Arabidopsis thaliana: one gene and its partners. The protein of the gene in region 1 interacts with the protein of each later gene in a pairwise test. Each region holds a gene or a part of one and is shown in the gene's direction. Other genes may lie near its edges.

Region 1 (11,717 bases):
TGCTATGATCAGTAAGAATGTAAATCTTTAGTTGATTTTTTTAAGGTTTTAGATGAATGTATAACCTATAAATTTGGTCCTACGAAAAACAAAAAACATGAAAGCAAAGACAATGAGTCCATAAAACAAAATGTTTGCTACCAAAAATCACAAACTTATAAAGAAATATTTACACAATTAGTTTTTCACGAAAACCAAATGATTATATATATACAAACTCGTGGTGATAAATTATGATTAAATATGAAATGTTATTATATATTGCAATGATCTGTTATATCTGTCGTGATAGGTTTCATATTACCTGACTATAACAACGTTGATTTCCAGATCCTGTTTTCAGACAAAAGGATCATGAACTAAGTTATTGTTGAAAAGGCTTTCATCGGGTTTGGTCTTTTAAGTACGTTGAAGGAAAAATTATGAGTTATCATCCAGATTCGATAAAATTAGAGTTAGGTTTGATTTGATTAAATGTGGTGCAATTGCAATTTGTTAGAAGATTAAAGTCACCACTTTCTCTAAAGGAGATAAAAAAAGGTTTGATTAGCCAAAAGCTATTACAAGGACTCATAATATAGTCTCATAGCCACGTAGGTTTGATTTATTGTCTAGTCAATATACCATATGGTTTCATATCCATCAATCGTCGTCATATGAAATTCTGCAAACCATTATTATGCCTCATGAGTTTGAAAGTTGCCGGAATTACATTCTTTTTTACTGATTTTTTTTTTGGTAATTTCTAATTAGTGGTAATCTCCTTTGTGAGCTTAAGATTCATATGAAAGTTTTGTTCATTCTTAACTCTGTAAGAAGTTTTATTATACATAAAGTTGTAAACAATAAAGTCGATGAGAAAGAAACAAATAAATTTGATTATTTGTCATGAGTAATGGGAGAGTGAGACCACAAAGGGAGTTGTGAAAATGGCAGTGATGGTCCCTTCTTATTCCATTTCTTGTCCTTTTGGTGTTACTCAAATTGTTCCTTTCGTATTTACTTTTTTTTTTCTTTCTCATCTTCTATTTTAGATTCTTATTTCATTGGTTTGATGAGTAATAGTAGTTTTCAACTCTTTTACTCTGTTTCTATTTTTGCTTTTTAACCATTAATTGTTATTTTACAATCTAACAGTGTTTTACTGTTTTTGCTTAATCGTTTGACTTAACAAGCTCACTACTCTTTTTAAGGTTTGCTTTTGAGAACTGTTTTAATGTTTTTAATACAAACATATACACATATGTAACGTATGCGTGTGCATGAAAACTGTCAAAATCTAGGAACGACATGTTTCTTTAAATTTGTCCCCGACTACTATGTCAGTGTATTTGTCTTATCAAGGTTCGAATAATGTTACTTCCCATGAGGTACTTGCGAAAACTTCTGTGTTTATGTCACCATGAAGATCACAACGAATCTGAATTAGGTCACTTGTAATTTTTTTTTTTGGTCACTTGATGATAGTGTAAATGTAATCAAATAACTAAATCCTTATACAATGATCAAACGTTGAGTCTTAAAAGAGACTAAACTTATGCACTAATTAATTCAATTTAAGTTTGGGAAATCCTCACCTAATGATGTTAACTTCTAACCTATCATATTTTCTCCGCGAACAACCACAAATACTTTGTATATCCAAATCCTCACGCGTTAGAAATTAATGAAAAAAATAGGGCAAGGATTGATTGAAGATGTTTTTTTTTGTCTTTATATTCTGATTATTATATATAAAAGAAATCACATCTCAGCTAGTGAATTGATGTGCCACTCATGACTATGACTCAGTAGTACATGCAACTGTAACTATGTGAGACTGTATAGAAAATGACCATTGAATTGGCCAAACAGGATAAACTATTATATCAAATGAAATAAGTTAAAATTGATGATTCGTATGAGATCTGAAATCATATATATATTCAAGAATATGCAACGCCTTATCTTGAAAGGTTTGTTAAGTTCATGATTCATGAATAATGTATATCAAAACTCACTAATCGCTCATCTAAATTAAAACTGTATATGGACCATCGAGTCAACGGACCTTTCTTCCAATTTCATCAATATAGAAGTAAAAAGTATCAACTATTGATAATATATGTGTGAACCTATATTAGAAGTTACCATTGGGCAATAGTTGGTTAAATAAAGCAAAAATTGTCATCAAATGAAGAAAAACAAAAGAAGCAAAATGTTTTTATGTGCGAAGGTCCAAGGGACCAACATTCTCATGGTCTTCTGTCACCACATTTTTTCAATATTATCTTTCCAATTATTATTGTTTATTTCTTTATTTATTTTGCATCTAAAGAGTATAATTTAAACCTTAATACAATTACAACAACCTCTACGAATTCATATCATTTATTTCCTTGTCTAGATTCATATACCACCAATAATTAGCTAGGACCATTTGTTATAGTAGCTTTTTGGATATCTTGACCATTTTGTTATAATGTTTTTGTATATATATATATAAATACATAAGAAAATATTATACAAAACACTTAATTCAGTTCTTTTATGTATAAGGACCGTAGTGTTATATCTCTAATATTTATATAAATCGTAGATGAACACGGAGTAACATTTTTTGATAAACATGTTTAGGAGATATCTGTACTTTGCAATTAAATTATGATGAATGATTTATTGGTAGTGACTAAATTATAGAAGTCCCCAATGGAAAAAAGAAGCAGCGAACCAGTCACACCGTCGTTGTAATCTACAACTAAAAAAATGCTTGATTTATTTTTCCTTATCAATATGTTTTCAAAATGAAAACGTGTACATATAAAAAAAATGGTCCTAAGAGACATATTAATTTTGATTGGTCCACCTGGAAAACCGGCAAGGGATGGCCATGGCCACGTGGGATTTGTGGTCCATGCTGGGATCAACGTTCCTCAATGTGCCACGTGTTTTGATCATCCAGCGTGACAGCCTGTGTTTTCAACTTTTCATCACCAAGCTTCAAAATCTTTTTTACTCTTTTTATTTTTATGCTTAAAAATAATTTAGAAATTGATATGGTCGAAGAGTAATAATAACTTCTCTTGTCAAAAGGGAGTAATTATATAATATGAAAATGGATTTTTGTCAATACATAAATTTTTATTTTCTAAATTAACTGTTTTGTTTTTTTCAACATGATTTCTCTGTTTTCTATTTGATTCAACGGCGCATTTTTTTAAAATGAAAATTGTTTGTAGCTCAATATTAAAGATATTATCGTCAAAAATTGTTAGACAAAAAAAAAAAAAACCCAGCCCACAATCATTATATGATATATGGCCACTGATAATACAACTATCTGTAACTGATTTAAACTTAAAAATTATTCTACAATAAGGGTTTTGATTCGTCGGCCCAAATTTACCATATGGGCCTTAAGAAGCCTGGTTAAAATATATGGCCACTGGATAATACAACTATCTTTCTTTCTTTTTTTCTTTAGTAATATATGGCATCAGTATTAGTGTCAATGATTTATAGATGTGAATAAAGTGAAATTTTTGGAAAGCTAATTGATAACTTTGATGACCAATATATAACAAATAAGTTTGTCTATTGCAGTACTTTAATTCATTGCTTGCGTAAGAAGTGAGTGGGATCACAATTTAAAGAACGTCACTTGATTCAACTACTACTAAAATAAAACAATCAGAAAAAAAAAATATTAACAGAGGAAAATAAAATATCCTGGAGTAGTTGAATCATCTTGCTAAGCACCTAATTTTGATAAAACTTGCGGTGGCACAGTAAGTTTGGGCACCTAAACAACTAATTGATTGGCTAATCACAATATACACGTTTTTTTTTTCACATGTGGTTTTATATTGAACCCACCGAATTCTCTTGATCCTTCTAACAAAATTTAATCTCAACCACAAAAATAAAATAATAATATATATAAGAAACTGTAATGTACAATTGTGATTAGCAATGGGTCATCTCATCTAATTATCCAGATAATATTGTCTATATTTTTCCAATTAATTTGGTCGTATGTAACTAAATAATGCATTAGGTTGAGCTAAATAAAGTATTAGATAACCTTACCTACTAACAATTTTCAATGATTTTTTTCAGTTTCTATATTTCTGCTTTGTATTTTTGTGTAAAATTGGGTTTACAGACCAGGGGATTTCGAACAGGGTGATGTGTTGGACACAAAATTTATTCCATTCATGTGCGAGTTATTATTCATTGAAGTATATTAAACTTTTGTTTTATTTTACTTTTTTCTATTAATTTTAATTAAAAATTTGATGTGAAAGAAAAAAACGGTATTTTATTGTGAATAGTAAAAGTCATGAGCAAAATCATCAACTTAGGAGTGTTGAAAAAAGGCTAAAGAAGAGTAAATTAGAGGAGAGTCAAAGATTGTGTGTCACTAGTGTTAATGCTAGTAAACATCAGCTCTTTTTTTTCTTCTCTCTTAATTTTTCAAACATTTGATTTCTATAAACCTTCTTAATAATTTCTTCCGTAAAATAATATGATTAGTTTTTTTTTTTGTAAACAAGTGCCCACTTGCTTGACCTTCCCAACCAAAAAAAACGTAACAATTTCCATCATCTTCTCCATAAAGTTCTTACCTTTAAGTGTGTTTAATGGAGATTTATCCTCTACTCATCTCTCTCTCTCTATTCTGTTCCATTTATTAAGCTTTCTTCACGCTTTTTAAGATAATTAACAGTCACGGGTTCTAAAAGCTAAAGGGTTTTGCTTCGAATTCAAGTGTCTCCCTTCACTTTCTCTCTCTCTATTGCTGCTCTGTTTCTGCTGTCAATTCCCTAAGAAAGTCCTGATTTTTAGGGTGATCGAGAGAAGTTGAAGAATCATGTTTATTGAGTTTCCTTTTTTGATCCATAGGGTCATCTAATTTTGCTAATTTTATTGTCATCTCCTTCAGGTAATTTGCGATTTCTCTTTACTCTGTTTTTGACTTGTACTTAGATTCCTTTTCTTTAACAGTAATAAACTTCATAAAGATTTCATTTTTCTTCTTATGGGTATTTGGAATGATGAATGTAGATTAGGTTGATTGTTTTGAGGATGATGTGGATAATCTTTTTCTGGATATTATTACAATTTAGGGTCTTGAGATTGTTTGTAATAAGCTCCGTACTTTGGTTCCTTATTTTCAATTCAGTCTTTAAGATTTCGGTAACCCTTTTATATTTGATGCAATCTCCCTATAATAATACCTTCTTCAATTGCTGTTTTGCCATTTGCATATTATTTAACTTTCTTTGTTGGATCAGTCTGATTCTTTCTTACCAATTATTGTCTTAATCCTTGATTAAGGAAAAACAAAAAAACAAAAGACATGGAGTTTCTTCTCTTTCTTGGATGTATAACAGTGTTTCTCTATGCAGGTAAGGGATTGTTGTTGCCAATGGGGTGGCTAACTAAAATCCTTAAAGGTTCTAGCCATAAGTTTTCTGATGGACAATGTAATGGAAGATATAGAGAAGATAGAAACTTGGAAGGTCCTCGTTATTCTGCGGTAAGTGAACTTTACTGTTTTTTGGTTCATTTTGAATTGAAGATAAAAGGGTTTCTTGAATTTCTGATTCAGGAAGGATCTGATTTTGACAAAGAGGAGATTGAATGTGCTATTGCACTTTCTCTTTCTGAACAAGAACATGTAATTCCACAAGATGACAAAGGAAAGAAAATAATCGGTAATGTTGTTTAATTCTCCGTTGGTAATGCATAGAGAAAAACAAAGAGAAGAAAGAAAGTTATGTGTGGAAATGTAACTTGCTTAAATTGTTTCTTAAACCTTATATTCTGTAGAGTACAAATCTGAAACCGAAGAAGATGACGATGACGATGAGGATGAGGATGAAGAATACATGAGAGCTCAGCTAGAAGCAGCAGAGGAAGAGGAAAGACGGGTAGCTCAAGCTCAAATCGAGGAAGAAGAGAAAAGGAGAGCTGAAGCTCAACTAGAAGAAACAGAGAAACTGCTTGCAAAAGCTCGATTAGAAGAGGAAGAAATGAGGCGTTCTAAAGCCCAACTGGAGGAAGATGAGCTACTCGCCAAGGCCCTTCAAGAAAGTATGAATGTGGGATCTCCTCCTCGATATGATCCAGGAAATATACTTCAACCATATCCCTTCCTCATTCCTTCTAGTCACAGGTAAATGGTTCAAAAATACATTAATGTCCATTTCTTAGATTTTCAGACACTATCATCTCTAGATAGTGATATGATGCATGATCACATTAGCTCCAATGAGTCAATTTTGTTTCTTTGTTTATTTTCTTGGAGGATATGTGTCGGTTGCCAAGCTGAGATAGGACATGGAAGGTTTCTGAGTTGCATGGGTGGCGTTTGGCATCCTGAATGTTTCTGTTGCAATGCATGTGATAAGCCCATCATAGATTATGAGGTCCCTATACATTTTATTAAGTATTATTATTGTATCCTCCTGATTCTTTTGAAGCTTAACCTGTTCAAGCTTTGTTTTACAGTTCTCAATGTCAGGAAATCGGCCTTATCACAAATTATGTTACAAGGAGCAGCATCATCCTAAATGTGATGTTTGCCATAACTTTGTGAGTGATAGCCAACTTCTGTTGATCTCTATATTTTACCCAAAATTTGTTCCCAGGTTGTACTAAGCTTAATGTGTATGTATAAATGTAACTCCTCTAGATTCCGACAAATCCAGCTGGTCTTATTGAGTATAGGGCACATCCCTTTTGGATGCAAAAGTATTGTCCTTCACATGAGCGTGATGGAACTCCTCGGTGTTGCAGTTGTGAGCGAATGGAGGTCAGTTGTTCGATATAGCATTTCTGTTAATAGGAAAATAAATTTAAGAATCTGATTCGAAAACCAGATGTTGTTCTGTTTTTGGCTCATGGTTTCAGCCAAAAGATACAAAATATCTCATTCTTGATGATGGTCGAAAACTGTGTCTTGAATGTCTCGACTCAGCCATTATGGACACTCATGAATGCCAACCATTGTACCTTGAGATACGTGAATTTTACGAAGGCTTACATATGAAAGTGGAACAGCAAATTCCTATGCTTTTGGTGGAGAGATCAGCTCTAAACGAAGCTATGGAAGGAGAGAAACACGTAAAACCTCTATATCTTATTGATACTATGTTTATACTCTCTCTTTCTCTCTCGCTCATTTGTTTCAACCTACTTCTATCTAATTTTGCTGCAGGGACATCATCATTTACCTGAAACTAGAGGACTTTGTTTGTCTGAAGAACAAACTGTCACCACGGTATTCATTCTTCCAAGTTTGTAATGAATTGCTATCCACCACAAATTGCTTCTGAATCAGAAAGATGTTGATATAGGTGTTAAGGAGACCAAGAATTGGGGCAGGCTACAAGTTAATAGACATGATCACAGAGCCTTGCAGGCTGATACGTCGTTGTGAAGTCACTGCGATTCTCATTTTATATGGACTTCCTCGGTAAAAGAAAAACACTTCTCAACACACTCCTAAACCAAATTTTTGTCTTTATAAGATATCTAAAATTTTCGTATTACACTTGTACAGTTTGTTAACCGGGTCAATCCTTGCTCATGAGATGATGCATGCATGGCTTCGACTAAATGGTAATCTGAAGAACACTCCCTTCTCATTATGTTGAGCAATTGAACGTAGGGAAATATCAAAAAATGTTTTGTTGCTCTGTGTATATCTGTAGGGTATCCAAATCTTAGACCAGAAGTGGAAGAAGGAATATGTCAAGTTTTAGCACACATGTGGTTGGAATCTGAGACTTATGCTGGCTCTACATTAGTAGACATCGCATCTTCTTCATCATCTGCTGTGGTGTCAGCATCGTCCAAGAAAGGTGAGAGGTCTGATTTTGAGAAGAAACTTGGTGAGTTTTTCAAGCATCAAATCGAGTCGGATTCTTCATCGGCATATGGGGATGGGTTCAGGCAAGGTAACCAAGCAGTTCTTAAGCATGGTCTGAGGCGAACCCTCGACCATATTCGCTTGACCGGTACATTTCCTTAAATGGAATTTAAACTATAAAAAGAGAGAAAACAAGCTTTGTTATAGTTTTTTAGAGTATAGACTTGAGAAGAAAAGAAAAAGAAAAATGTATAGGTTACAACAATACACACATTTAAGTGTCATAAAGTTTCCACTTTTTAAGTAAAAAATCAAGAGTCAAGAAACAAGACCAAAAATTCTTGGCTTGGTTTTTATCTTTTTTTGCCAAACGTTTTGCTTGTTATTTCTTAGATAGCAAATTATTCTGTTTTCAAAATCTAAATTACTACAATCACTAGTTTGACTTCATCATATCTGGACCAGTGGATAAAAGTATGAAAGATAAGGAAAATCCGAAAATGGATAGACTTGTATATCCACAATTCCACATTATATCATAATATGTACTGTATATTATGGCTCTTCTATTCGCTGAGAGGACGAAGGTCAAATATGTAGAATGTAGAAGTATCCTCATATTGACCTGTCTAACTAGATTAATATTATAGTATGCATGCTTGCCATCTGTTAATTAAAATACAGACATTGTGAAAAAATACACTCCATGCTCTCTATCTTTCTATCGTTTGTAAAATGATATTTTGTTGATCAAAACTACTATGGTCTACAAGATCGTGTAAAACAACATTCAAGTAACTTAGTATTATGGGAAGATGAGTTCTCTCGATCGAGATGTTCAGTCAATTCTCTAGAGTATAAAAAACGAAAACGTCTCAAGTCAATTGTCAATCATTAATTTCCAAATATAAATATTAGACATTATCAACAAATGATGATAAAGAGATACAAAAAACATTGTGAAGATGTGGGATATGAGGATAAACATAGAGAGATAGGATGATATATTCACACGTGTTTCCCACTTCCTCATCCAACTTGTCGCGGCGCCTCGTCGCCGTTTCTTTCTTCTCTCTTTGGTTTTTTTTTCTAAAACATTTTCTCTATCAAGCGTTTATGTTTCAACAAATTTTATTTAAGCTAATGTTTTTTCTTATAACCAAATCAAAATTTTATTCATCGATATAGAAATTAATGGTTTTTTGCTAATATTGAAATCTAATTTTAAAGTATATATTAAAAAGTTTTTGTTAAAAAAAAATGAGGATACTCATGTTGGAGAGGGAGAGCAAACGGATTCTTGATGTTTTTACGATCGATTAAAGTGAAGACGTTTTAGTGGACATGATATATTTCTTTGGTATGACATATTTTAAAAGTCACCTCTAAGAATTCAATTTTTTCTAGATATTATCGTCATTCGTCAACATTATATCGTATGATGTTAACAAAATTAATGGTTGGTAGAGTACTCGTCATTTAGAATTAGGGCTAATGAATTGATCGTTCATAATGTCTTGTCGAGGGCAAAAACGACGTAACGTGACAAAACGTATTAACCTTTGTTTCTTTTTCTTTTTTTTTTGTTATTTCAGAATTCATGAACCAGAGAATTTCATTAATCCACTAGCTAATCTTGAAATTATTCTATTGCCTTTTGAAAAAGTTGTAAAGTATAATTTGAAGGTTGCAAAATTTTAATTTTGGTTTTTAGTGTTTGAGAAACAAATCAAAACTGCAACATTATATACAGAACTATCTTCCCTTTTTTTTTTAACTAACTTGAAATTTATGCAAAACAGTTCACCAAGGTGTCATTAAAAGATGTCATTAAATTCGAAAGTCGGTTCATGAAAGATGTCGTCATCATCGTAACATGATGCCACCACGCAGTCAGCACTAAGCAGGCTATTTGGCTTTGGCACCTTCATTCAAAAATAAAATAAATTTTAAATTCCTGGTTCAGTAAAAATGTGGACCGTTGTTTTGGGGGCAGCCAATCGCACGAATATGGTGGCTACGCCACAAAGTTACAAATGTACAACTTTGTCGGGCTTTTCCAGATTCATTAACATCAATAGGCAAGTAAACTACAAAATGCAAGTTGCTTAATCAATAATGTTGTAAAGCTTTTACAGCATCTTTTATACCATAAAATGTCAACATCATGGAGTTTACTCCAATTAAGTTCTCGTACACTTTGATTTGAATAATCAGTACAAAACATAACCAAACCGGATTAGATGTGGTTTTAACTATTGCATACATTTTCGGCCAATGGATTAGGATTACTGAAAGAACATTAAAAACATATATGTATGACGACGAAAACAATTTCTTAGGGCTTAGGTTATATATATTTCGCAGAAATGTATACCAAAATGTTGGAGAATCGTGAAAAAGAATATACCTAATAAACCGTACTAAAAAGGCTGAACATCTGAGATTCAGCAGAGCATCAAAAGATAAAAGAGAATATGCTCATTAATCATAGGTCGACTGTTTTCTCCACCCTCCAACTTTAATTTTTGAAATCTCTTGTTTTTATGTGCCCTTGATAATTATTAATCACCTTAACATTAACAACTTGTTAATGCTTGTTAATCCAAAAGTAAAGCAATCAAAGAACTATATTATAAGATTAATAATGTAATGATTCGAAACATTACAATAAAGTATAACGTAACAAGCTTAGATATGGTGGGTAAAATATACGAAGTAAAATAAATGGTCCCAAGTATATGAATGAATACATGTATTTACAGATATCTCTCTCCCCTATCTCCTTATGATTTGTCATTTTCCTCACCCATAATCCTATAAAATAATCAAGAACCTCCGAGGGAGAGAGACATACACACAGACAGAGTAAGACATATATAACATATATAGAGAGAGAAGACCTAAACAAAGAGACATATGGTGTCTTTAGGTTACTGCTTGAAGGAGAAGAAGACATGCGTGAGATGGGTAGAGATATACTTCGATGACTGTCTCTGTAACTTAAACGACGACGTTTCATTCGCACTTGGAATCGCTAGCCTCCTCTGTTGGGGAGTCGCAGAGATTCCTCAGGTCATCACTAACTTCCGTACAAAGTCAAGTAACGGTGTCTCTCTCTCCTTCCTCCTCGCTTGGGTCGCCGGGTCCGTACACCATCTCAAGTTCTTCTTTGTTATCATAATCTCTCTCTTTCCCTAACGTTATTTTATATGAATTTTATCAATCGGTGCAGTGATATCTTCAATCTCGTCGGTTGTCTTCTTGAACCAGCTACTGTAAGATACACAAAACATCTATAGTACATAATTATTTTCATGTCTTATTATTGTTTTCTCATTGTTTATCTTATTTTGAATTGTGTAGTTGCCGACTCAGTTCTACACAGCCTTGGTAACATCACCGTCTTCTCGCCGCATAAATAAACATATGTCGCTACAAAGCTTACGTGTCGCTTCTATTAAAATTAGCGTCAATTGTTCGGATTTATTTATTTTATTCGACCGCTTTATTTTATTCTATTTACAAATCAGCCCCGTAACTATTTTTTTTTCCTCTCTCTATAGCTTTACACAGTGAGCACTGTAGTATTGGTGATCCAGACTATTTACTACGATTACATCTACAAACTTTGTAGACATAGACGTACCAAGATTTGTCAAAAGGTAATAATTATAAGAGTTGATTACATTTTTAGGTGTTGATTATCATAATGAGGGTTTTTTTTTTTTGTTAAGGATGAGGAAGATGAAGAGAAGAGACCATTGAAACCACCAAAGACGATGGGATCTGCTATTTCCATCCCAGGAGGATCTTACAAAGATTCTTCTCGGAGAGAGTTCTATTACACGTACGGATT
Region 2 (11,172 bases), on another chromosome or scaffold:
TCCCACCATAATCTTTTAATCTAAATAATATGATTTATTTTGCTCGTTTTTCACAGTACATAGTTACATACGGTATATATGTGTAGAGGCTCTTTGGTAATTTCTCTGAACATAAGATATCTAAATACCTATGAAGAAAAATCAGTTACTGTTCTAGATATTTTCCGACTACGTGAGACCAGGACAAATATAGCCAATCACGAGGAAAAATATAGTCTTATTAACATAGTCATTGGTTCAACCAACAAAAGCTAAATATGAATGATTTTATTGGAAGTTAAAAATGTCTCTTTTAACTACAACATTCTAGTAAGAGATTATCCCAAAAAGAGAAAAGAAAAAAAAAAAGTAAGAGAGATTTGATAGTGAAGGATACTCAATATAAACTTAATAAGTTTGACTAATATACTAATATAGTATTAATTTGAAAATGATGTTTGTGGATTACATAAAATCTAATATCCAAATTATATTATCACTATAAATTTAATTATTTTAAGTACACGATTTGATGAGAAACGAGATAGTGTTGTTGGTTAACCGATTCAAATTTCTGTTTTATTAAGTTATCGAAAGTTTAATAATTAATAGCACACAAGAATGTAAAAGATACGATCCAAATCTTGATTTGGAGAGCATATACTTTTTTTATATTAAAACAATCTGTCCATACATGTCATTGGAATCTAGATACATCCCAAAACAATCTGAAATATATTTATTATTGCGAAAAAGAAGGGTCAATAATCATAAGAGTGTGCCTATTATACTAGTATATAATAATAAAGTTGGTGGAATAATGAAATACTAAAGTTCAATTATTACTTGTAAAAGTAAACTAAAATCACCTAACTACAAAAACTGATGACCAATGAAATTGTAATGATGGTAACCAAATCCAATTAAATTCTATTCTGGGCAAAAACGAATCGATAATTGGTTAAAAGTGTTATTTTAGTTAGGACAAGACTTGTGATAGTGATCGCATAAGACTTTTAGGGGTTTTATTACTGGACCTATTCTAGCATCATCCTATTTCAAATCCTTAAATTCTTGTTCTCGAACCCGCTTTAAATTTTTCCTCGTTTCATATTATAATTGATTTAAGCAAAAGTATGATCGGTAGGAAATTCTTACAGCTATTATGCACTTTTATAACATTTGTTTTCCAATCAGACTCAAGTGTATATAGTGTGTCCCTTCTAAAATTCACAACTTCTATAACTATATTATATTTTCTCACCACGTTTTGTATCTTTCCTTTTTTGTTTTGGTTTAAAGCAATATGAGAATTTTACATGCTTTAGGTGTTTTTTTTTTCTTTTTACAGCAAGAAAAAATGAAGAGTACAACCCAAAGTTTACAGAGTAATGGTACAACAATTACCAGACGAATTATCTTCTTACAGCTTGGTTAAATCAATTGCTAAAGCACAAACTAATGGCGTGTATATATATTGCATATTTAGCCAAATAGTAAGCTTGAAGATTCTAAGACTTTCAAAGTAATCCCTTGCTGAGTTGCTATTATGCTGTATATGTACAATAGTATATAATAATTAAAACTTTAACGAAGACAAACTCATGTGAAAATGTAATAATCAGAAGACAAAATATAAGTTAATAATATGTCATATATATAATAATAGAAATATATGTTCTTTTCGAATTAAAATTAAAAGGTCTTAATTTTTTACAATTGCAAAAACTTTAAACTGAAAAAATGATTTAATCTTCTGGAATGTACATTATATAATATCCGCCACCCTACTTGCTACCCCTAGCTAAAAGCCAAACCGATGGAAGACTCGCTTGCATTAAATTATGCACTAGCTTAATCTACTTTTAAACTCTCTTATAATACATTTAATTCCTAATTTCTATCGCCATTTTATATTTTTACTGATATCAATATTCGAAGGGTCCATGCCTATGATTCCATGTCATACATAATATTTCCTTTCATACCTACATTCATTTTAATGAAAACCTTAAATATATATCCAAAAGCTATACATTTATGTAAACTAAACTGGTATAATAATTTTTGAAATATGTGTATGTCTACTGATTTACTATTTGATTAGTTCGTAGTAAATATATTATAAATTGTTTAAACATAAAAACAAAAAAAATCATGTAACTAGATAATTTTCTTGACGAAGATTCGAATTAACAACACAAAAAAGTTCATTTTCTGATATCGCAATGGTCTAATTAATGGTTGTTGAATAGTTTATCTTTTCCACGTTTCATAAGCTTTTTTGGTACGCGACATCCATATTGAAAAATGTCTGTCTACACTGAGCTCAATCCAATGAAATTTGTTGTGAATGAGATATATGCATTCACGGATTTCTAAAAAATATGAAGTCCATGACATCCATTGAAACATTTGACAAAATAAAAATATAAAATATGAAGTCATTACAACGTAGAGTAAGGTTTCTAAAAACCCCACTCTCGTTTCGTAGAAGCCCCACTACCACCTCACTTTAATTTCATTCATTATCTCATTTACGTTGATACTTTAAATTCATTTTTCCATATAAACTTGTAAGTATGAAATTTGTACTTAGTATATATTTTATCTATCTTTCCATGATGAACTTAAATATATTACAGTTTGCCTAGCCTTTTTAGCTCAGCTATATATATATATATATATGCTAATGTTGTTACGATGTTTATTGTTTTGTGTCTATATCTTATTTACTTTTTTGAATTATTAATAAAATGGAACAATTATACATATAGATTATAGATACATATATCTAAATATAATATATTGTATCTATATATATTAATACAAATTTTAAAGAACTGGCGGGTTTCTAAATTCTAACATATGTACTGTAAGTTCAGCTTCTTACTAAGTCATAGGAACATGGAGAGCGTTGGCAAAATCATGGTCAGTTTGTTTTGCATTCATAATTGAAGACATAGTAGTATCATGCAATGAAGATATGGTGGGCCAAATATATCATAAAAAAAATAGCGAAACAATAAGAGAACGTTCGTGAAGCTGAAGCATATGAAAAACACGTAAATATATTTATGACGAGTGACATAGTAAGCATACGTGATATTATTATTTAATTAGTAATATAGGCCACCAATCAGAATTCTTTGTCTCAACGATGAATAAATTAACTATAATAATCCAAATTTTTAACATTGTTTTAAGAATATCCGTTATTCAATTAGTCTACCTATAACAATGAATTATTATGGATCCTTTATCGCTATGCCTTGATCAGGAGAATTAGATTAGTTACACTTTCGCAATTTTTGTAGCGATGGATTGGAACAAAAACCAAAACAAAATATAGACTATTTACACATAAATTATACATGAAATCAACTTAATTTGTTATTCTCTAAAGTTTAGATTGTCTTTATAAAATACCAATCATATACCTAACTAAAACTAATGAATCTTTAACGTGCATGAGATGGTGCATGTGCAAATAAAACTATAAAGAAAACCATGATATATTTTTTCTAAGAATGATAGTTTTTGGGAATTTTAGACTTTCGGTCTATATTTTTCGTATGTCCACACCAATTGTTGATATTGCATTTAAAACATTAATTATTATTTTTTCCAAGTATAATTGAACTAGTAACCATGAGGTCCATGACATCCATTTGAAAGATGTCAATTCGTAATATTGTTTCAAAATATTTTTTCGTTTATAATACATAAACTTTAATTTTTCCTGTAAAAGATATCAACTGTTCTTTTCATTTGTGTTACAACCCAATAATTATTAAATATTTGAAACTTTAGTATTTAGAAAAAATACATAAAACTAATAGATAGATATTTTATTTTATTTTGAAACAAAAAGCTAGAAATGGAGAGTGAGAGAAAGGTCCAAAGGCACGGCTAAGAAAACAAAACCGTGGACACCCTGTCCTCAATTTGACAAGTCTTTGTCTCCTCCTTAACTCTCTTCTTCTCTCTCTTTGTCTTATTCTAGTTTGGTCTCAACTCCCAAAAACGATGACGTTTCATTCCTATATAGTCGTCCTCTCTTCTTCTTCTCCTCCTCTTATCTCTACTCAACACCACTCAATTTCATCTCTCTTTTTCCCTTCCATTGTTAGTATAAAAACCAAGCAAACCCTTAATCACTTTTCATCATCATATATCACCTTAATCCACATGCATACACATATCTAGTCTTTTTGATATATGGCAATTGTATCCTCCACAACAAGCATCATTCCCATGAGTAACCAAGTCAACAATAACGAAAAAGGTATAGAAGACAATGATCATAGAGGCGGCCAAGAGAGTCATGTCCAAAATGAAGATGAAGCTGATGATCATGATCATGACATGGTCATGCCCGGATTTAGATTCCATCCTACCGAAGAAGAACTCATAGAGTTTTACCTTCGCCGAAAAGTTGAAGGCAAACGCTTTAATGTAGAACTCATCACTTTCCTCGATCTTTATCGCTATGATCCTTGGGAACTTCCTGGTAAATATACATTCACATAAACACACATAAATCATCTCAAACTATTTGGAAATCTTAATTTCTATTCATATGTTAAGATCTTTCTTCTCTCTTATCACTTTCTCTCTCTATTTCTTTTTTTTTAACCTATATATGTACCTACCTCCTTATGAAGTATTACTATGTCGATCGTTAACAATTCTCAATATCTTTAAACGCTTCTCCCTCTTTAGTTTCTTTCTTAAATTAACCTAATTAAACAACCTACATATATATCATAAGATATACAAATATGTGTATGTTTTCATAATTAGCTTATGTATGTTTAATCATAGATATATGTATATGCAGCTATGGCGGCGATAGGAGAGAAAGAGTGGTACTTCTATGTGCCAAGAGATCGGAAATATAGAAATGGAGATAGACCGAACCGAGTAACGACTTCAGGATATTGGAAAGCCACCGGAGCTGATAGGATGATCAGATCGGAGACTTCTCGGCCTATCGGATTAAAGAAAACCCTAGTTTTCTACTCTGGTAAAGCCCCTAAAGGCACTCGTACTAGTTGGATCATGAACGAGTATCGTCTTCCGCACCATGAAACCGAGAAGTACCAAAAGGTATAAATTCTACTATAACTCTATATATATCCTATTCATACATACATAGATATAACCCTAGCTAGGTGGTGAGGCCTTTAAAATTGAAATTAATCCCTAGACAGTTTGAATTTTTTCTTTTTTGACTAGTTTTATTTATTTATTTTGGAATTGATTCGATAAGATCAAAAATACTTGTGAATGGACTAAATGTCAGGCGGCGTTTGCGCTTAAATCCAGAAAAATGTTCATGTCATATGCGTGAACTCTTTAAATTGCTAGACATGGCCCATATGTTATAGTAGAATACATTAATAGATAGATGCATACACATATATATAAACACACAAGTATCACACTCGACATTCATATACCTTAATTCTGCAGAGACATAGTTAGTTTTTCTTACAATTTATGACATGAATGTTCCTGCTCTTCCTCACATTAATTCATGTCTTCTATTTAAGTTACCCAACATTTTTTGAAATAATTTGGCATATATGAATTATACCAACATATTTATATGCGAACATTTAAAATCTATACGAATGATAACGGTTTATGGAGTAGACCGAAAAAATATTATGTATACGGAAAATGACAATGGATAGATAAATACATTTTTTGGGCTCTTTCGACTTATATGTCGTCACCATTTGAAACCATAAATTTATAAAATTTTCTATGTATATATATGATATTATGATGTATGCATAAGACAGCTAAAACAACAGGGTTGACATAATTATCTATGTGTATGTATTGCACATTCACTTGTACTAATAAAACTAAAATTACGCAATTAAATATATAAAAAATAATAAATATAATCATCTTAATTATATTTGCATTGTTACGTCATATGATAGTACTCTAAATTTCTTCTAAACGTGCTATCTTTTTTTGCTAATGCTAACTTTACATAGTTTGTGAATCTTCTTTCAAAACCATATCTTCGATAAATGATATTTTTCATAGATATTGTTAGTCTATATTTGATAATTTGATATATGTATCAAGTCTCTAATCAATGTGCTCATGTATAATTATAGGCTGAAATATCATTGTGCCGAGTGTACAAAAGGCCAGGAGTAGAAGATCATCCATCGGTACCACGTTCTCTCTCCACAAGACATCATAACCATAACTCATCGACATCATCCCGTTTAGCCTTAAGACAACAACAACACCATTCATCCTCCTCTAATCATTCCGACAACAACCTTAACAACAACAACAACATCAACAATCTCGAGAAGCTCTCCACCGAATATTCCGGCGACGGCAGCACAACAACAACGACCACAAACAGTAACTCTGACGTTACCATTGCTCTAGCCAATCAAAACATATATCGTCCAATGCCTTACGACACAAGCAACAACACATTGATAGTCTCTACGAGAAATCATCAAGACGATGATGAAACTGCCATTGTTGACGATCTTCAAAGACTAGTTAACTACCAAATATCAGATGGAGGTAACATCAATCACCAATACTTTCAAATTGCTCAACAGTTTCATCATACTCAACAACAAAATGCTAACGCAAACGCATTACAATTGGTGGCTGCGGCGACTACAGCGACAACGCTAATGCCTCAAACTCAAGCGGCGTTAGCTATGAACATGATTCCTGCAGGAACGATTCCAAACAATGCTTTGTGGGATATGTGGAATCCAATAGTACCAGATGGAAACAGAGATCACTATACTAATATTCCTTTTAAGTAATTTAATTAGATCATGATTATTATCCATGACAATAATTATTAATGCTGCTTTGCCATATTTTCATACTCCTTATATATTGTTATGGCGATAGACAATGATTGATTACTGCGAGTTTATGTAATGGAACTGATTCTCAACATATATAGTCAATTAAGTAGTTTTTTTTTTCTTGTGTTAAAGTTAATTTCTTTAAGCTAGATTCAACGTAGTTAAAAAAAAAAAATTCACTGTAATATATGAATACAAAATGACTAAGGAGTGCAATCCGTATCAAAAGTTCTCAAACAAACCAAAGAAGAAATAAACTTATTGGATTAGATTTTCATGTACGAGCCCTAACCGAAACCAGACTAAAACCAAACACTAACTAAACCATAACAATAGTAACCGTAAATCCAACCTAGTGATATTTAATTTGGTCTTCATTCCATTTCAAAATTTCAAATTGAATGTTGATATTTTTTGTTGTTTATTCATCACTTATTAGAATTCATTTTGCATTGTCATTTACATGCATTAGATCCAAGATGTTTAATTTTAGTTACCTGTTAGTGCGACTTTATAGATAAACAATCCACTAACTCTTAAGAATTCAACAACTAATTTTGAGATAGAAATATATAAAGATAAAAGATGTTAGCTAGTTTTTTGTCTTTGTAAATATAAGACTAATTAGGGTTTGACAAAAAAAAAAAGCATAGGACGTGCAATATTTGGTAAGAGCAGTTGTTCCCGTGATTTTGTCAGATATGACCAGCATGAACAGTTGTATGTTGTAAGAAATCAGTTCCCTTTTTCTCAATGAGAAAAACAAATTTAAACTTGACTTAACTCTCATACTAGTCTTTTTAATCCTAATTATTAACAATCTTTAATAATATATGTAATGTGGCAAAATCCTAATATATACTGACTTGAATATGATACGAAAGTACTAATTTTAAAGTTTTTTCCCTTTCTAACCGGTCGATGTAACCGTATTTGCATGTTTTCTTAGATTATTTTAAATAATATATGTCTATCACCTATATTAGTAAGTATATATTCATAGATTATAGTTGATTTTGCCCAAAGAAAAAAGAAGATTATAGTTGATTATACCACATCATTGATATTCTGTGACGAATTAGATTACAGTTGCGGTAAACGTATTCGCTAGCTAGTACGACGTGCTTAACGCAAAAATATTCAAAGATAACGAATCCGATTAATATTGGTTCGTTTCTTAATTCTTACATCTAGAATCACACATAAAAACAATAAAATAATTAAAAATTTGATGAATTTTTTATTTTTTTGAGTGATAAAAGGCAAAATGTTTTCCGTTTTTTAGTAGCTTTCTCTTTCAAAATATCTATTTCTGGTGTATATCGTGAAAAAAACTTTCAAAATACGTGAATGTGATGATCGTTGAAAACTTCAAATCTCATTTCCCCTAGGTTACTATAAAAGCCCACTATCCTTTAATGGGCCAGGCATGCTATTTCTGTACAATACAAGATGGACCTGAATGTTTTAACTTTTAACTTTTATCTTTAAGGTCAAGTTAATTGAAAACAAAAACCAAATTTGTGGATCAATTTGGATGCCTCAGCCTACGTATAAAAACATGTTTTTTTTTCGTAATATTAATGGAAATGAATATGTTAAAAAAAAAAAATACATGTTTTTTTCGTCGACACTTTTAAAAATAAAATAAAATTTAAATAAATGTCTTTGACCAAAATAAAAATAATGTAAAATTTGGGAGTGGGGAATGTAGCTCGGAAAAAAATAGGGTATGTAGATCGGAATTAATAAATAGATTTTATATTATTACATAAACAATAATAAAATACACAATGTTGTCTTTATTTAATTAATACAAAAATAATAAAATAGACAATGTTGTCTTTATTAATATTACTTCTCAGCCCCAAAATTAATCTTTGATCGGTCCCTTTTGTTTTATCGTTTTAGGGTTTGTAGCTCCTTTCTCTTTTTTTCTTTTCTCAATTTCCCCCAAATTAAAAAAAAACTCTCTCTTTCAGAGATTTACAAATTTCATTTCTCCAAATCCGAAACCCCAAAGTGAATATTTTTCCTTCTGGGTTTCTTTTGTTTGCCTGGAAACATTTGTCTCAGATTTTGATTTTGACCGGAGTACTCATATTCTCCGGCGATTTCTCCGGCGACATCGTTTGTGAAATGGAGGGAATTACTCATCCAATACCTCGTACTGTTGAAGAGGTCTTTAGCGACTTCAGAGGTCGACGAGCTGGTCTTATTAAAGCTCTCACTAATGGTCAGTTTTGGTCTGATTCTTGTTTCTCACTTGCGAATCAGAATGATAAGTATCTACAGAGTTACGATTTTGTGGCATTTGGGTTTTTCATTTGTTAAAAAAGAAGAACTTTTTTTATTTTGGGTTTCTTTTGTGAGATTTGACGATTCTGGGTTTTGTGTTTTGTTTATGCAGATATGGTGAAGTTTTACCAAACGTGTGATCCTGGTGAGTTATTTCTTCACAACTTTTAAAAAATTAGTCTTGCTTAGCTTCTATAGTTTCTAGTGAAATGTTTTGTTGAAGTTGTTGAGCTTGTATGTTGTTGAATTGTGTTGGTTAAAGATTGAGTTAGTTAGTCCTCCTCTGTGTGGTTTTTCTTTAAGGTGTTTCATTCTTGTTTATGTAGAGAAGGAGAATTTGTGTCTCTATGGACTTCCAAATGAGACATGGGAGGTTAATCTACCCGTTGAGGAAGTTCCTCCTGAGCTTCCTGAACCAGCTTTAGGCATCAATTTCGCTAGAGACGGAATGCAAGAAAAGGACTGGGTATCTTTGGTCGCAGTTCACAGTGATTCATGGCTGCTTTCTGTTGCATTTTACTTTGGTGCACGTTTCGGATTTGGCAAGAATGAGAGGTAAGGGTCCTTCTCAAGCTCAGTGTTTTTGAGTGTTGCATCTCAATTATGACAATATTGGGTGTACTCATGTGTGGTAAGGTTATAATGATCATTCTAGCATCCTCTTGTTTTGTCTATTTGTCTGATACAACAATCTCTGTGTGGATTTTTGTAACTCACGTGATCTTATTTATAGGGTCGGTTTCTGTGTAACTCTTTTTGTAAGTGGTTCCCAGTTTCTATTTTGAAGTGACTAGAGTTATGAATCGCACCAATCTGGATCAATGTTATTGAGATAGATATATTAGTCAATAGATGTGATATGTGCCTCTAAGTCTGATTAGTACTTCTTGTATTAGTCTTGTGCAGGATCACTGTAATTAGCCTAGGTAGTTTCCACTGCATTGTACCTTTGTTGAGAGCTCAGCAACAATCACTGAATCCATTATTTGATACTGGTAGCTGACAGGTTAAACGAAAAGCTTGAGCAGAATGAGTTGTTGATTCTGAATCTCATCAAATTCTTCTCTGGCATTAGGTTTGTTTGAACAACTTAGCTATCACTTGCCTTTAAGCTTATGCCATGGACCGATTCTTTTTCAGGAAGAGGCTGTTCCAGATGATTAATGAGCTGCCAACCATTTTCGAAGTTGTGAGCGGCAATGCAAAGCAGTCCAAGGATCTATCTGTTAACAACAATAATAGCAAAAGCAAACCTAGTGGCGTCAAGGTATCTCTTCTGTTTCACCATTTTGTTTTATCAATCTCTGCTAAGTTTTATCTCTTTGTATTCCTCACAAACAGTCTCGCCAATCCGAATCTCTCTCAAAGGTTGCAAAGATGTCATCTCCACCGCCAAAAGAAGAAGAAGAAGAAGAAGATGAGAGTGAAGATGAGAGTGAAGACGATGAACAAGGTGCGGTTTGTGGTGCTTGTGGAGACAACTACGGTACAGATGAGTTCTGGATTTGCTGCGACGCGTGTGAGAAATGGTTCCATGGAAAATGTGTGAAGATAACACCTGCAAAAGCAGAACACATCAAGCATTACAAATGCCCAACTTGCAGTAACAAGAGAGCTAGACCTTGAAGTTAAATAACCAAATTATGAAAAGGTAAAGCGAGTTAGGAGAAAATTATGAAAGAAGAAGGTGAAGTTTCCAGTTTATAAGAAATGCCAGTAAAAGGGACTTAGAAGATGTAAGCAGGTAAAAAAAAAAATTGTATTGCTTAGTCTTTATTGTTGGATTGAGACTATCTACAGTTGGTGATGTCTTTTCTTTTCTTTTTTTGGATTTTTGTTGTTGTTAATGTTAATTCTACTACTAATTTGTTTGGTCTGTTTAAGATATTTTAGTTCTGATTAGTAATTTTTTTTTTTTTTTTCTGATTAGTAATTTGCTAAAATTGTAAAAACTATTATGTCGTTATGTAGTCTTTTTATTCATCTTTTATCTTACTCTCTCTTTTATTTAGCTATTTAT
Region 3 (11,014 bases), on another chromosome or scaffold:
CTGTACACATTAGCAATCCACCATCCGTGACTGATTGAATAGCCGAGTCAAGGAAAATAGATGGTGATCCATATGGATCAAGATCAACCTAAGAATATCATTAACCAAAATTAGTTTAACAGAAGCAACTATAGCAATATTCAAATGAACATAATAATGAGTATAAAAGATGCTTACCACATCAAATTCTTTAGGGTGGGTAAGCATATGGACACGAGCATCGGTATGATGTGACTCCACCTTTGAAATAGCCACTGAGCCATTGAACTTTATGTTTCTCTGGCAAGCTTCGACCGATGCTTTTAAGAGAAAAAAGGAACAACATTAGGATATTGTTATTGGGAAGCTACAAGAAACAAACAAATTAATCAAGACTTCCAACTTCCAGGTCGTCTAATCTAATTCATTAAAATGATGAAACTTTTTACCTAAATCATTATCCAACGCCACAACCTGACCAATTCCTTCTATTTCGCGTGCATATCTTAGAGCCCGTAACCCAGAAGCTGACAAAGCCTGAAATATAAGTATGCAAACAAAATTTATCTAACTGCAAGATCACAATAAGCGGTATGAAGCAAGACACCGAATAAAAAATATAGGAAGACCTCAAGAACTTTTGGTGGCTTGGGTTCTCTAGGTGCAAATCGTTCTGTTGTCTTAGCAGGGTCTTTTGATACAGAGCTTGGTCCATCTTCAGATGCTACTTCGTGATCACCATTATTCATACCGTTCTCGCTAGGAGTTTCTTCCTTGGAAGCTTCAGAAGCATCCTTCTCAATCACTTTGGAAGCTGGTCTAGTTCTTTTAGATGACTTAGCCTCATGCTCTTGCTTGCGTTTCGATAGAAATTCCCTTAGAACAGCAATGGACATGTCTCTATTGTTCACCTAATCATTCGATAAAGACATGAAGGGAAAGAGATCAGGTTCACGCTCAGATCCCATGTAGGTTCAAGCAAACACATTACTATCATGACCGGAAGTTAGCTACTTAAATTGGTAGTATGAAGGATAAGTTTCACAAATATCACTCAGTGAAAGATAGATTTCTCTCAGCAACTTACTATGAAACTGGCTAATCCATCAAAAAAGTTTGATACTTTGGTTACTCGAAGACGTAAAAATCCAAACTTTAAAACAATGACTGACAGTTCCTTGATTAAAACAGGTCAACCAAATTCTTGTTACAGAACAAGCGAATAAGCCATGAGCTAATTGGTGCAAATCAATGTTCACTGGTCTTAACAAAGCTACAACATTTAATTACAAATCAAAGCAGCCAATAAAAATCGAACAGAACACCAATTCAGATAACCTATCTCAGCCTCTATCTTAAGAAACACCAACAATTACAAAGAAGAGAAAGAAAAATAAAAGAGAATTTGGAAAAACCTGAGCTTTATTGAAGAAGACTTGATTCTTCTTGTGCATGAGAATCTCAGCTTCTCCTTCCTTGATAACAGTATAATCATTCAGATCCGTTTCCATTGCTTTGGTATTCTTCTTCTTCTTCTTCTTCTTAAGTCTCTCTACTCACAAATCCAATTACTTCCGCTATTGATTTATGTAACTCGACGAGGAATCACAAATACGTGTATGCAATAAATAAATAAAAAGTCCTACCCGCTTCGATTTCCAGAGGCAAAATACCAAAGAAGAAGGAGCTTTAATTTAAAACCCTACTACATAAACTCCCCAAGATCAACATAAAAGATAATGGGTATGAATGTAAGAAAACCAAAGACAGGGTTGGACCAAGCATAAATAAATAAAAGATAACGGGTGTGAATGTAAGAAAACACAAAATAGAGGGATCAGAGACTAAATATCAAAAGTAGAGGTGTTAAAACATGGCCCATGCAGGTTTCGAACCTGCGACCTTCGCGTTATTAGCACGACGCTCTAACCAACTGAGCTAATGGGCCATTTGCGAATGGTAGTGTCTATTTTACTTATTCGAATCTAAATCGTCATAGGTAATTAAGAAGACATGCAAAGCTTAATCAATGATGGATTCTTTGATTCTACTTCTAGGTGCCACCATTGACGCATTCATAAAATCATAACCGGTCGTTTACAAAACATATTGCTTGAATGATTCTAAACAAATAATAGTTTTTTGTTGAAATTTTCAAAACATATGTTAGGTAAGGTCAGGTTTTGCCAATAAGCCTTACTATATACAGTGGCAACATGTTTCTTCTACTTTGGAGGATTTTGGGTGAATATGAAACCCATGTGAGCATGATACATGTGTTTCTTCTTCTATTGAAATTTCCCCCAATGGTCATTTGCTCTTTGCGTTCGTGTTGCGCTTTCCGGTATCAAATCATATATATATATAACCTAAATGAGACTAGACAATTTGAATCATTGTAAAAGGTATAAAGAAGAGATTATAGTCCACAATTAACAAAGTAATAAGACGGTAAAATATCAAACAAATTGAAAGGGTAAAAAAAAAACAAGAGGGACAAGTCACTGTTAGAAAGGTGACTCCTCCCTTTGGGCCAGCCCCCTACCACAAAAGTCAAAGCTTACTTACTATTCAGTCATATATCGACACGTGTACTTCGAACCACATCACCCATCCTATTACGTAATTTCCACTGTCTAGACTTTTTTTTTTTTTTTTTTTTTTACTTTTTAACGTTTTTTAGCTGTCTCTCTAAATTACTACATACGGACTTGCTACGTCACCTGAGAAGAAAGATCTTTGCTCGTAGATTCTTTGTCTGAAGGAAAATTATTTGTATTTAGTTATTTACAATTGCATAATTGTGTGTAGTAAATCCGCCAGAATGATATTAGAGTGATACTGAGACGACGAATGGTGTAACTTGTAACATATATACTAATAAACACGATTGATTAAAAATTTACTATACAGTATATCCAAAACATTATGATTGAGAGTGTACATATACAATAAGTAATTAAACCTCAAAACCAAACAGTTTTTTTTTTTTTTGGTCAACAATAATTAGAAATGAGAATAAACTATTTAACTTATAAATTCTAGACCCAAAAACTCATATTTTACCCTTCTTGGTCTCACCTAAAAAGACTTTAATTCCCAAAACTCTTGCAAACAATGGCCAAACATAGAAGATTGGAAAACAAATTTAAATCTACTTTCACTTTTATAAAGAATAATCAACGAACCAATTAAGTTAAACCTACATATATTCGTATGTGATCACATATGTGTTATATTCCTCACGTTCTCTTCCATTTAGCTAATAACCTTAATTACTTCAAGAAATCATATATCAACCGAAAACTAGTAAAATAAATATACATACTGAAAGCGCGCAAAATTTTTAGCAATATTTTAAAATACCCTACATCATAGTCTTAACTAATTAATCTTTCTGATCAAAATTTATTTTCATAATATTCATAAATACTTATGGATTACCTAAACCAGGATACTTATCCCTATAAATCTGTCAATCATCATGGATTCATGGAGACATGGTCAGATATCCCACGTCCAGATACAATGTAACATATTGATATACTGCGGCTGATTATTATTTTTTACATTAGAACGAGTTTAGATCCAAAACAAAATTGGTATTCTCAAACAAAAATTAAAAATTGAATACGAAAGTAATAGAACAAAACTTCAATGTTGTCGAATAGATAGGAAGCAATAGAAAAGCGACACGTACATGTCCATTTTAAGGTAGGAGAGGCTTTTCTGCGGCTTGTGAAGTAAGAAAAAGAAAATGATGATAGCTGCTTTCGTTTCATTCATTGCAGAAGAAACCAATGTTTCCCCAATCTCACGCGCCTCCTCCTATCTACCACCACTTGGACAAATCCCCTTTTCAGTATTAGTTTTTTTTTCCGGACATTGTACATTCAAAAGCATTCCAAGTGTCTAATAAACATAACTAACCACTCCAAGATGCAAAATCTAGCTACGAACAAATTTTAAACTATAGAGATGAACTTTAAATTCGGGCATTAATTAGTGGAACTTGAGCTATTGATGAGTTTTCTGACTTTTTGAAGCTTAATTGAGTTTTATATACACTATATATAGGCTTGTAATAATATGGATCAAACAAGAAATATATAAACTACAAATTGGGAATTAGGTTTTAAAACGTTATCGTTCTATTTTAATTCAGGCACCTTTAGAATATCAAGATCCATGCATGTTTCAATATTTCTGTTGACAAATAAATAAAGATGTCTCAAATATGAAGTTTGGGCAACGTACGTGTAGACCTAAAAGAGTCGAAACATTGGTATCTAAGTCATATATCTAGATGTATATGGACATGGATTATATAACTAGACAACGTTTGTTTTAAAAACTTAATTCATTTTTCTTAATTAGTAGCAACTAGCAACTAACTACTCATGGCAAATAATGGTGTCTGCGTGGCACGCACTTGGGAGAGAAGGTGTGAGAATGTTTTTTACTTTCTGTGTAAAAGATGGAAGAGAGAGAAAGAGTAAAGAAGTAGAGAGAGAGATATTGTATCACCAAACCCTAATGATCTCTCACCCTCACAAATTTTCTTATCTTTATAGCTTTTATAGATTCACAAAAACTTTTCTTCAGATTCACAATCTCATCACAACCCTTCAAAAAGAGAAAAGATCTAAAGAATAAACAAGAGCCCTAATATCAAATCACAACCAAAAAAACCAAAGAAAGCTAATTAAAGTTTTCTCTCTAGCTATTCCTCTTCTTTTCTTGTTCTTGAAAACTAGGGTTTACTTCACCAAAAGATAAGATCTTTCCCCAGAAAAAGCAATACCCAAGTCATGTTTCTGTGTGTCTGTATATAGATAAAACATTACATACCCTAATAAGGTTACACAAATAGCTATAAAAGAGGGAAAATAAGATAGGGATTTTTTGGGGTGAGGAAAGATGGGAAGAGGAAGAGTAGAGCTCAAGAGGATAGAGAACAAAATCAACAGACAAGTGACGTTTGCTAAACGTAGAAATGGTTTGCTGAAAAAAGCTTATGAGCTTTCTGTTCTCTGCGATGCTGAAGTCTCTCTCATCGTCTTCTCCAACCGTGGCAAGCTCTACGAGTTCTGCAGCACCTCCAAGTACTTCTCTTTCTTTATACACTTATTAGATCTGTGTGTAGATCTTTCATTTTTCTAGTCTTGTGATGAGTTTTATCTTTCTTGATTGCTTTTTAACAAAATACTTGATATATTTTCAGTTTCTTAATCTGATCTCTAATTAGGTTTTGATTATAGAAGAATAATTCAGTACTTTCAAGTGATTGAATTTCGAGATCTGATCTTAATTTAATCATCATGTCAAATTCTTAGGGATTTAATTGCAATCTATTTTTAGATTTATCGGAGCTAGGAAAGTATCATAATGATATACTATTATTATCATGTAATTTCATTGTCTCTACACGGATATATATGTGATTAGAACTTGGTAAAGTAAACTAAAGATTCACAGTCTTCAATGAAATTTAAAAGATCCAACGTAGAATAATTAGTGGTTCCATGCATTAACCAGTCTAATTAAAGCTCATGCAGACATTTAAGCACCACATGAATTTAATATCTTTTTAATTAAGGGATCTTCTTTTTATAAATTTTCTTTTGTTAGTTTTTAAAATTTTAGTTTGTTCATTAAATTTATAGATTCTTCTTCTCCTGATTTGTGTTTTTTGATCTTTCAGCATGCTCAAGACACTGGAAAGGTATCAGAAGTGTAGCTATGGCTCCATTGAAGTCAACAACAAACCTGCTAAAGAGCTTGAGGTTTAATCTCCAACATCTCTTCGATCTTAATTATTTATCCTTTTTTAATTTTATCTAAAGAAAATGTTTGATTTTGAGACAAAAGCCCTTCAAAGTTTCTTACATAGATATTCAATTGTCTATTATCTTCGCAATTTTCAGAACAGCTACAGAGAGTACTTGAAGCTGAAAGGTAGATATGAAAATCTGCAACGTCAGCAGAGGTATATACATTAATGTGGATGATGATCATTTATAAACAGCATATATATATATATATATATATATATATATAGTTTGTATTGATCATGAAAGTGTGTTGCTGCAGAAATCTTCTTGGAGAGGATCTTGGACCTCTGAATTCAAAGGAGCTAGAGCAGCTTGAGCGTCAACTAGACGGCTCTCTGAAGCAAGTTCGCTGCATCAAGGTGATTTACTTCTGTACATACACTGAAAGATTCACACAAATCTTTCTCTATATATAGACTGAGACACATGCATGAAATGTTTTTGATGCGTGAGGTTATCTGAAAATGCCTCTTCTTTTTTGCAGACACAGTATATGCTTGACCAGCTCTCTGATCTTCAAGGTAAGGAGCATATCTTGCTTGATGCCAACAGAGCTTTGTCAATGAAGGTATATGATGATGTTTCTCTCTCTCTCCTCCAGTTTCTATTTATAGATGGAAACTTTAAATAGTCCAATTTATATATATGAGTCTAAATTTCACATTCTTCAACTGCTACATGTTTCTTTTGTATTATTTCTATGATATCTTCAGGAAAGTTTGAAAAATATTGTGTTTTGTTTAGCTGGAAGATATGATCGGCGTGAGACATCACCATATAGGAGGAGGATGGGAAGGTGGTGATCAACAGAATATTGCCTATGGACATCCTCAGGCTCATTCTCAGGGACTATACCAATCTCTTGAATGTGATCCCACTTTGCAAATTGGGTAAATCAAACAACTTTTCTTGCCTTAAGACATCAACTTAGGTTATAAACAGTTAGCAGTTTGCTTTAAGCCCAACATTGTCTTTGTTTCATAGAGGCTTTGGTTAAAACTCGTGTTGTTTAGTCTAAGGATTCAGCACTTTGATGTCTGAAGTATGGAAAATCAATATCTCAGACTTGAAAATGTGGGTTTCTATTGTTGACTTCGAAACTATGTTGTTGTGGTGTTGCAAACAGATATAGCCATCCAGTGTGCTCAGAGCAAATGGCTGTGACGGTGCAAGGTCAGTCCCAACAAGGAAACGGCTACATCCCTGGCTGGATGCTGTGAGCGATACTTCTTCCCCCAATAAAGATCTTAAGCAAGTACTGGTGGGGTCTTCGTGGTGTGATCTTAGATCTTATGCATATGAATAATAATGTTATTGCACAAGACTTTTGCTTTTGTAGACACAAGTGGCTATAGCTGTAATAGCCTTCAACATCTCTCTTCTGTTTCAGGATTTGTTTGTGCCTATTGTAATTGCTTATATATGTATGGTTTGTATAATGTGTGAAATGTTAACATCGACCATGTCTCATCTGGTGAAGTACTTATCCTGTCTATGCATGATACAAAAAGACGTGGTTAGATGCTAACCGCAATCGCAAACACAGCTTGTGACAAAGGCATATAAACTCTCAAGTTAACAGTGACATTCAACAGATCACAATGCCACCAAGATGTAGCTTTTATTTTCGATTCTAGTGTACAGAACATATAATTACAATATCTGGATCTTACAGAGGCAGGACAAGTAATGAAATCTGTCCTGAAAAGTTAAATGATACAGAGAGTTCTGCTGAAGAATGTAATTTCTGGTTTGCTACATTCTTCAATTTCTCAATAATATAGGACCAATTGTAATAACTTCCAACAATACTAAATTGTTTCGGAGTTTGGGGATTGTGCTTTTTAATATACTTCTTCCCCATTAGTAAAGTCCCCATCAAGTAACTGCTCCCTGAAACACATCAAGTCGCATTGTTTAGCTTTACTTGACTTGGATTCTTTCTAAGTTTCAAAGTTTAAGGGGTAATGAAGAAGTTTGTCCAAGAACTTCAACTTTGCTTACCTCAGTCTTTCGCAGAGGCGGGCTAAAGCTTCGGATCCCATTCTGAATGCAACATCTTGAATCTCTGAAGCATTTGAGAGGTTCACACTATCTGCTAATTGAAATTCACACAACTCCTTCAACGAAAATGCATCGGTTAAAACAGCTGAATGACCACCTCCTGCTGCTAGCTTCCTCACTTGTCCTACACACCTGAACGAAACACCAGAGTTCATGTTAATCTAACTGAAAAATACCACAATCTCTGTATCCCATACCGTTTTGGTTAGCAATTGAATAAACAATACAAACTTGTTTGAGCTATACCAGTCTACAGGCGATGGGTACCAAGCATATGACGATTTCTCATTTGCTGCTTGACCATAACTATTATAACCCCATCCACAAATTCGTCCCTCTCTCATATAAACGAGAGTGTGAGAATGTCCACACGCAACAAGCCTGACATCAGTTGGGATGACTAAAACCGGGACATTTCGTAGAAGCATTTCGCTTCCATTAGAGACACTAAAAAAGAAACCAGATTGAGGACCAAGTCCTAGCTGTCCTGCTTGGCCACCACCCCAAGCATAAAGTGCTCCTTCCAAAGATAAAGCACAAGTGTGTACACCACCACAAGCAACTTCTTTCATGGACACACCATCGAGACCAACGACTCTCCTTGGTATTAACTCCTTATCCCCGGATTGAAGAGAAACATGCCCAAGTTGACCCATGCTTCCTAATCCCCAAGTGTAACTGCCACGAAAGAGATAAGCAGTGGACACTGAATAAGATAAACCGAGAAAATATAAGCAAAAGGGAAGAAGACTTGCAAGTCAGGAATTCATTTGCTTCCTCAAGCATTCCCATCTGCTAGGATGTGATGAGACCAATATCTCCATCAAAAGGATTTCCTTCCTCGGAACATTGCACAGAGAATTAGCTACCCATTCATGTGAATAACCACAAACTTTTCAAGAGAAGGCATTTAGATAACTTACACCTCGCCTGCATCAGAAAGAGCAGCAGTATGGTATTCTCCACATGAAAGTTGCATAATCTTCACAAGCTCGGGTGCTTCATCAAGGAACTTCGCATAAGCATTTATCACACGAGGTGCTTGTAGTCCTTCACAAGTGACTCCTCTACCAAGTTGGCCTTGTTCATTATAGCCTTATAATATCCATGGAACACAGAAACCTCAAAATCATTATAAATAAATACCAAACAAACAGATTCTAATGCATAACAAGATCTCAAAGCATTCTTACCCCAAGCTTGAAGAAGGCCTTCCTCTGATAAGGCCACAACATGAGCTGTCCCACATGATACTTGGCGGATTGCCTATAATATGTGCAAATACCAAATCAATGTCTACACTAGTATGTTTCTATCATGGATAGGATTTAAGTACATACCGTTGTAGCAGGAAATGCCCCCGAAAACAAGCGTGGTAGATTTGATCCCTATCATGAAAAAATTGAGAGAGTATTAGAAAAATACATGACGTGACAATTCCAGTCACGATAATGGAACCTGTTATACCTGATTTTGGCCCCAAACCCAGAGTCTACTAGTGGAAAGAGTACCGTCATTTTCACGGGGTTCTGCGATAGCTGCAGTGCAAAAAGCTCCACAAGACACAAATTTCACAAATTCTGATTGCAGCTGTTTCACCTTCTTTGGATGTTTCCTCCCAACCTCGGTTCCATCCCCAAGCTGACCATATTCATTAGCACCTGAAACGAGGACATAAAAATGTAAGAATCATCCCGTCTTCAGGAAGTTACGGATTGCCTAAGATTCAATCACAAGATCCAACAATTATAACCAAACAACTAATTGGTAACTACTTAGATTGCTTTCTATCACACTTGATACATAATCAAAGCCAAGAATTACATAAAGAAAAGAACTTTATAACACAAGAAGAAAGACAATCTAGTAACAACACAAAGGAAAAGAAAACTGAGAGACTGACCCCAAGCAAAGAGAGAACCATCTGATGCAACCGCAGCTGTATGTTCCCGACCACAAGAAATATCGAGCCAACGCGAATTGGCACCAGCGGGGCAACCAAAAAGCTCAGGAGGAAGCTGTTTTGGGATACGCAAAAGCTTCTCTTGTTCATTCCTACCAGTTTGTCCGCTTTGATTGTAACCCCAAACGTATATAGCACTCTTCGTTGGGATACTCACAGAAGGAGCTACTTCACCAATGATTTCTCCAATATCCATTTTTAGAAATTCCCCTTTTAAAGAAGAAAACATGCACAAAATTGTTATTCTTCTTAAAGACCCAAACTTTATGAACAAAACTCTGACTTTTACAGAAATGAGCAGAAGCGATCACGAATCAGGCAAGTTTTTCAATACCCATCTTAGAGCTAATCGCGAATTACATAACTAAAGATGACACCACACGCATATGCACGAGAATCACAATTAACCAAAAAAAAAAGGAGAAAGAATCTGAAACCGTACCTCACAAATCAATGTTGAAATTGGATGAATCGCAAATTCTGAAGGTCTTTGTTCGGTTTTTGGAGTAGTTAATGTGTAAGAAACGGAGGGAAAGAGAGAAGCAATGAGTCTCGTTCATTCATTTGCTCCGAGAGCTCCGGGACCGACTCCGGAGAGACATTTCTGATATTAACATCGGAAGACCTTTACTTTATAAAATATTACAAAACAGTCCCTAAATTATGTTTTCTTTTCTCTTTTCCCCCACTTCATAAGACTTTTATCACTGCATCAGTTCCTTAGATTGAACACATAAAAAAAGAAAAATTTATTTATATAACGACAATGATGTAAGAGTTTTGATGACTGACTAGAGAATACAACAACAGAGGCATTTCATGAGAAAAAGTCACTTAAAGAAGAAACATTGCTTCTTGTTTCATGGAAGTTAAATTTTCTCAGGAACTTAAACTGTTGCAGAGTAACAGTTTCTCCTTTTCTGCTTCATATATTTACCATTGTAAATGAAAATATTCACAAACCAACAAAGCCAAATTTACAAATTATATTCCTTGCATTGCCTTGTCATCTTCCCCGGTTTCAGTTCAGATACAGGACACGGATCAATGGTCGATGATCACGGTGTTTCGTTGAATTCCATCACCTGCATACATGAACAATGGATCAAAAATGGGAGCTTTTTAAAAATCCGAATGAATCAGAACAACACAACTGTTAGGATTCCAAGAAAAG

What was found.
Region 2: the proteins of AT4G36860 (region 1) and LOV1 interact in a two-hybrid assay, tested with the Arabidopsis thaliana proteins (one large-scale study listed by BioGRID).
Region 3: the proteins of AT4G36860 (region 1) and SEP2 interact in a two-hybrid assay, tested with the Arabidopsis thaliana proteins (one large-scale study listed by BioGRID).

Annotation. Positions count from the first base shown.
Region 1 is NC_003075.7:17,354,883-17,366,599, reverse strand, and holds AT4G36860 (LIM domain-containing protein), read left to right. Parts: upstream 1-4,485; 5' UTR 4,486-4,924; intron 4,925-5,390; 5' UTR 5,391-5,410; coding exon 5,411-5,699; intron 5,700-5,814; coding exon 5,815-6,160; intron 6,161-6,292; coding exon 6,293-6,413; intron 6,414-6,495; coding exon 6,496-6,579; intron 6,580-6,679; coding exon 6,680-6,799; intron 6,800-6,897; coding exon 6,898-7,110; intron 7,111-7,204; coding exon 7,205-7,267; intron 7,268-7,343; coding exon 7,344-7,462; intron 7,463-7,549; coding exon 7,550-7,608; coding exon of another isoform or gene 7,609-7,643; exon of another isoform or gene 7,644-7,700; coding exon 7,701-8,020; 3' UTR 8,021-8,229; downstream 8,230-11,717. Other genes in the region: AT4G36850 (PQ-loop repeat family protein / transmembrane family protein), read left to right, coding at 10,778-11,004, 11,094-11,136, 11,225-11,251, 11,425-11,523, 11,596-11,708. UniProt on the Arabidopsis thaliana protein: Acts redundantly with DA1 and DAR2 to regulate endoreduplication during leaf development.
Region 2 is NC_003071.7:643,844-655,015, forward strand, and holds LOV1 (NAC domain containing protein 35), read left to right. Parts: upstream 1-3,694; 5' UTR 3,695-4,161; coding exon of another isoform or gene 4,162-4,200; coding exon 4,201-4,492; intron 4,493-4,634; exon of another isoform or gene 4,635-4,822; coding exon 4,823-5,091; intron 5,092-6,122; coding exon 6,123-6,806; 3' UTR 6,807-6,977; downstream 6,978-11,172. Other genes in the region: AT2G02455 (uncharacterized protein), read right to left, coding at 4,162-4,374; AL6 (alfin-like 6), read left to right, coding at 8,994-9,090, 9,265-9,297, 9,479-9,707, 10,293-10,419, 10,494-10,778. UniProt on the Arabidopsis thaliana protein: Transcription factor that acts as a floral repressor. Controls flowering time by negatively regulating CONSTANS (CO) expression in a GIGANTEA (GI)-independent manner.
Region 3 is NC_003074.8:460,573-471,586, reverse strand, and holds SEP2 (K-box region and MADS-box transcription factor family protein), read left to right. Parts: upstream 1-4,435; 5' UTR 4,436-4,899; coding exon 4,900-5,084; intron 5,085-5,683; coding exon 5,684-5,765; intron 5,766-5,906; coding exon 5,907-5,968; intron 5,969-6,072; coding exon 6,073-6,172; intron 6,173-6,297; coding exon 6,298-6,381; intron 6,382-6,526; coding exon of another isoform or gene 6,527-6,557; coding exon 6,558-6,703; intron 6,704-6,939; coding exon 6,940-7,033; 3' UTR 7,034-7,308; downstream 7,309-11,014. Other genes in the region: AT3G02320 (N2,N2-dimethylguanosine tRNA methyltransferase), read right to left, coding at 1-88, 178-299, 429-516, 609-890, 1,395-1,490; AT3G02300 (Regulator of chromosome condensation (RCC1) family protein), read right to left, coding at 7,658-7,706, 7,818-8,009, 8,124-8,555, 8,801-8,972, 9,071-9,143, 9,218-9,265, 9,345-9,538, 9,781-10,069. UniProt on the Arabidopsis thaliana protein: Probable transcription factor. Functions with SEPALLATA1/AGL2 and SEPALLATA3/AGL9 to ensure proper development of petals, stamens and carpels and to prevent the indeterminate growth of the flower meristem.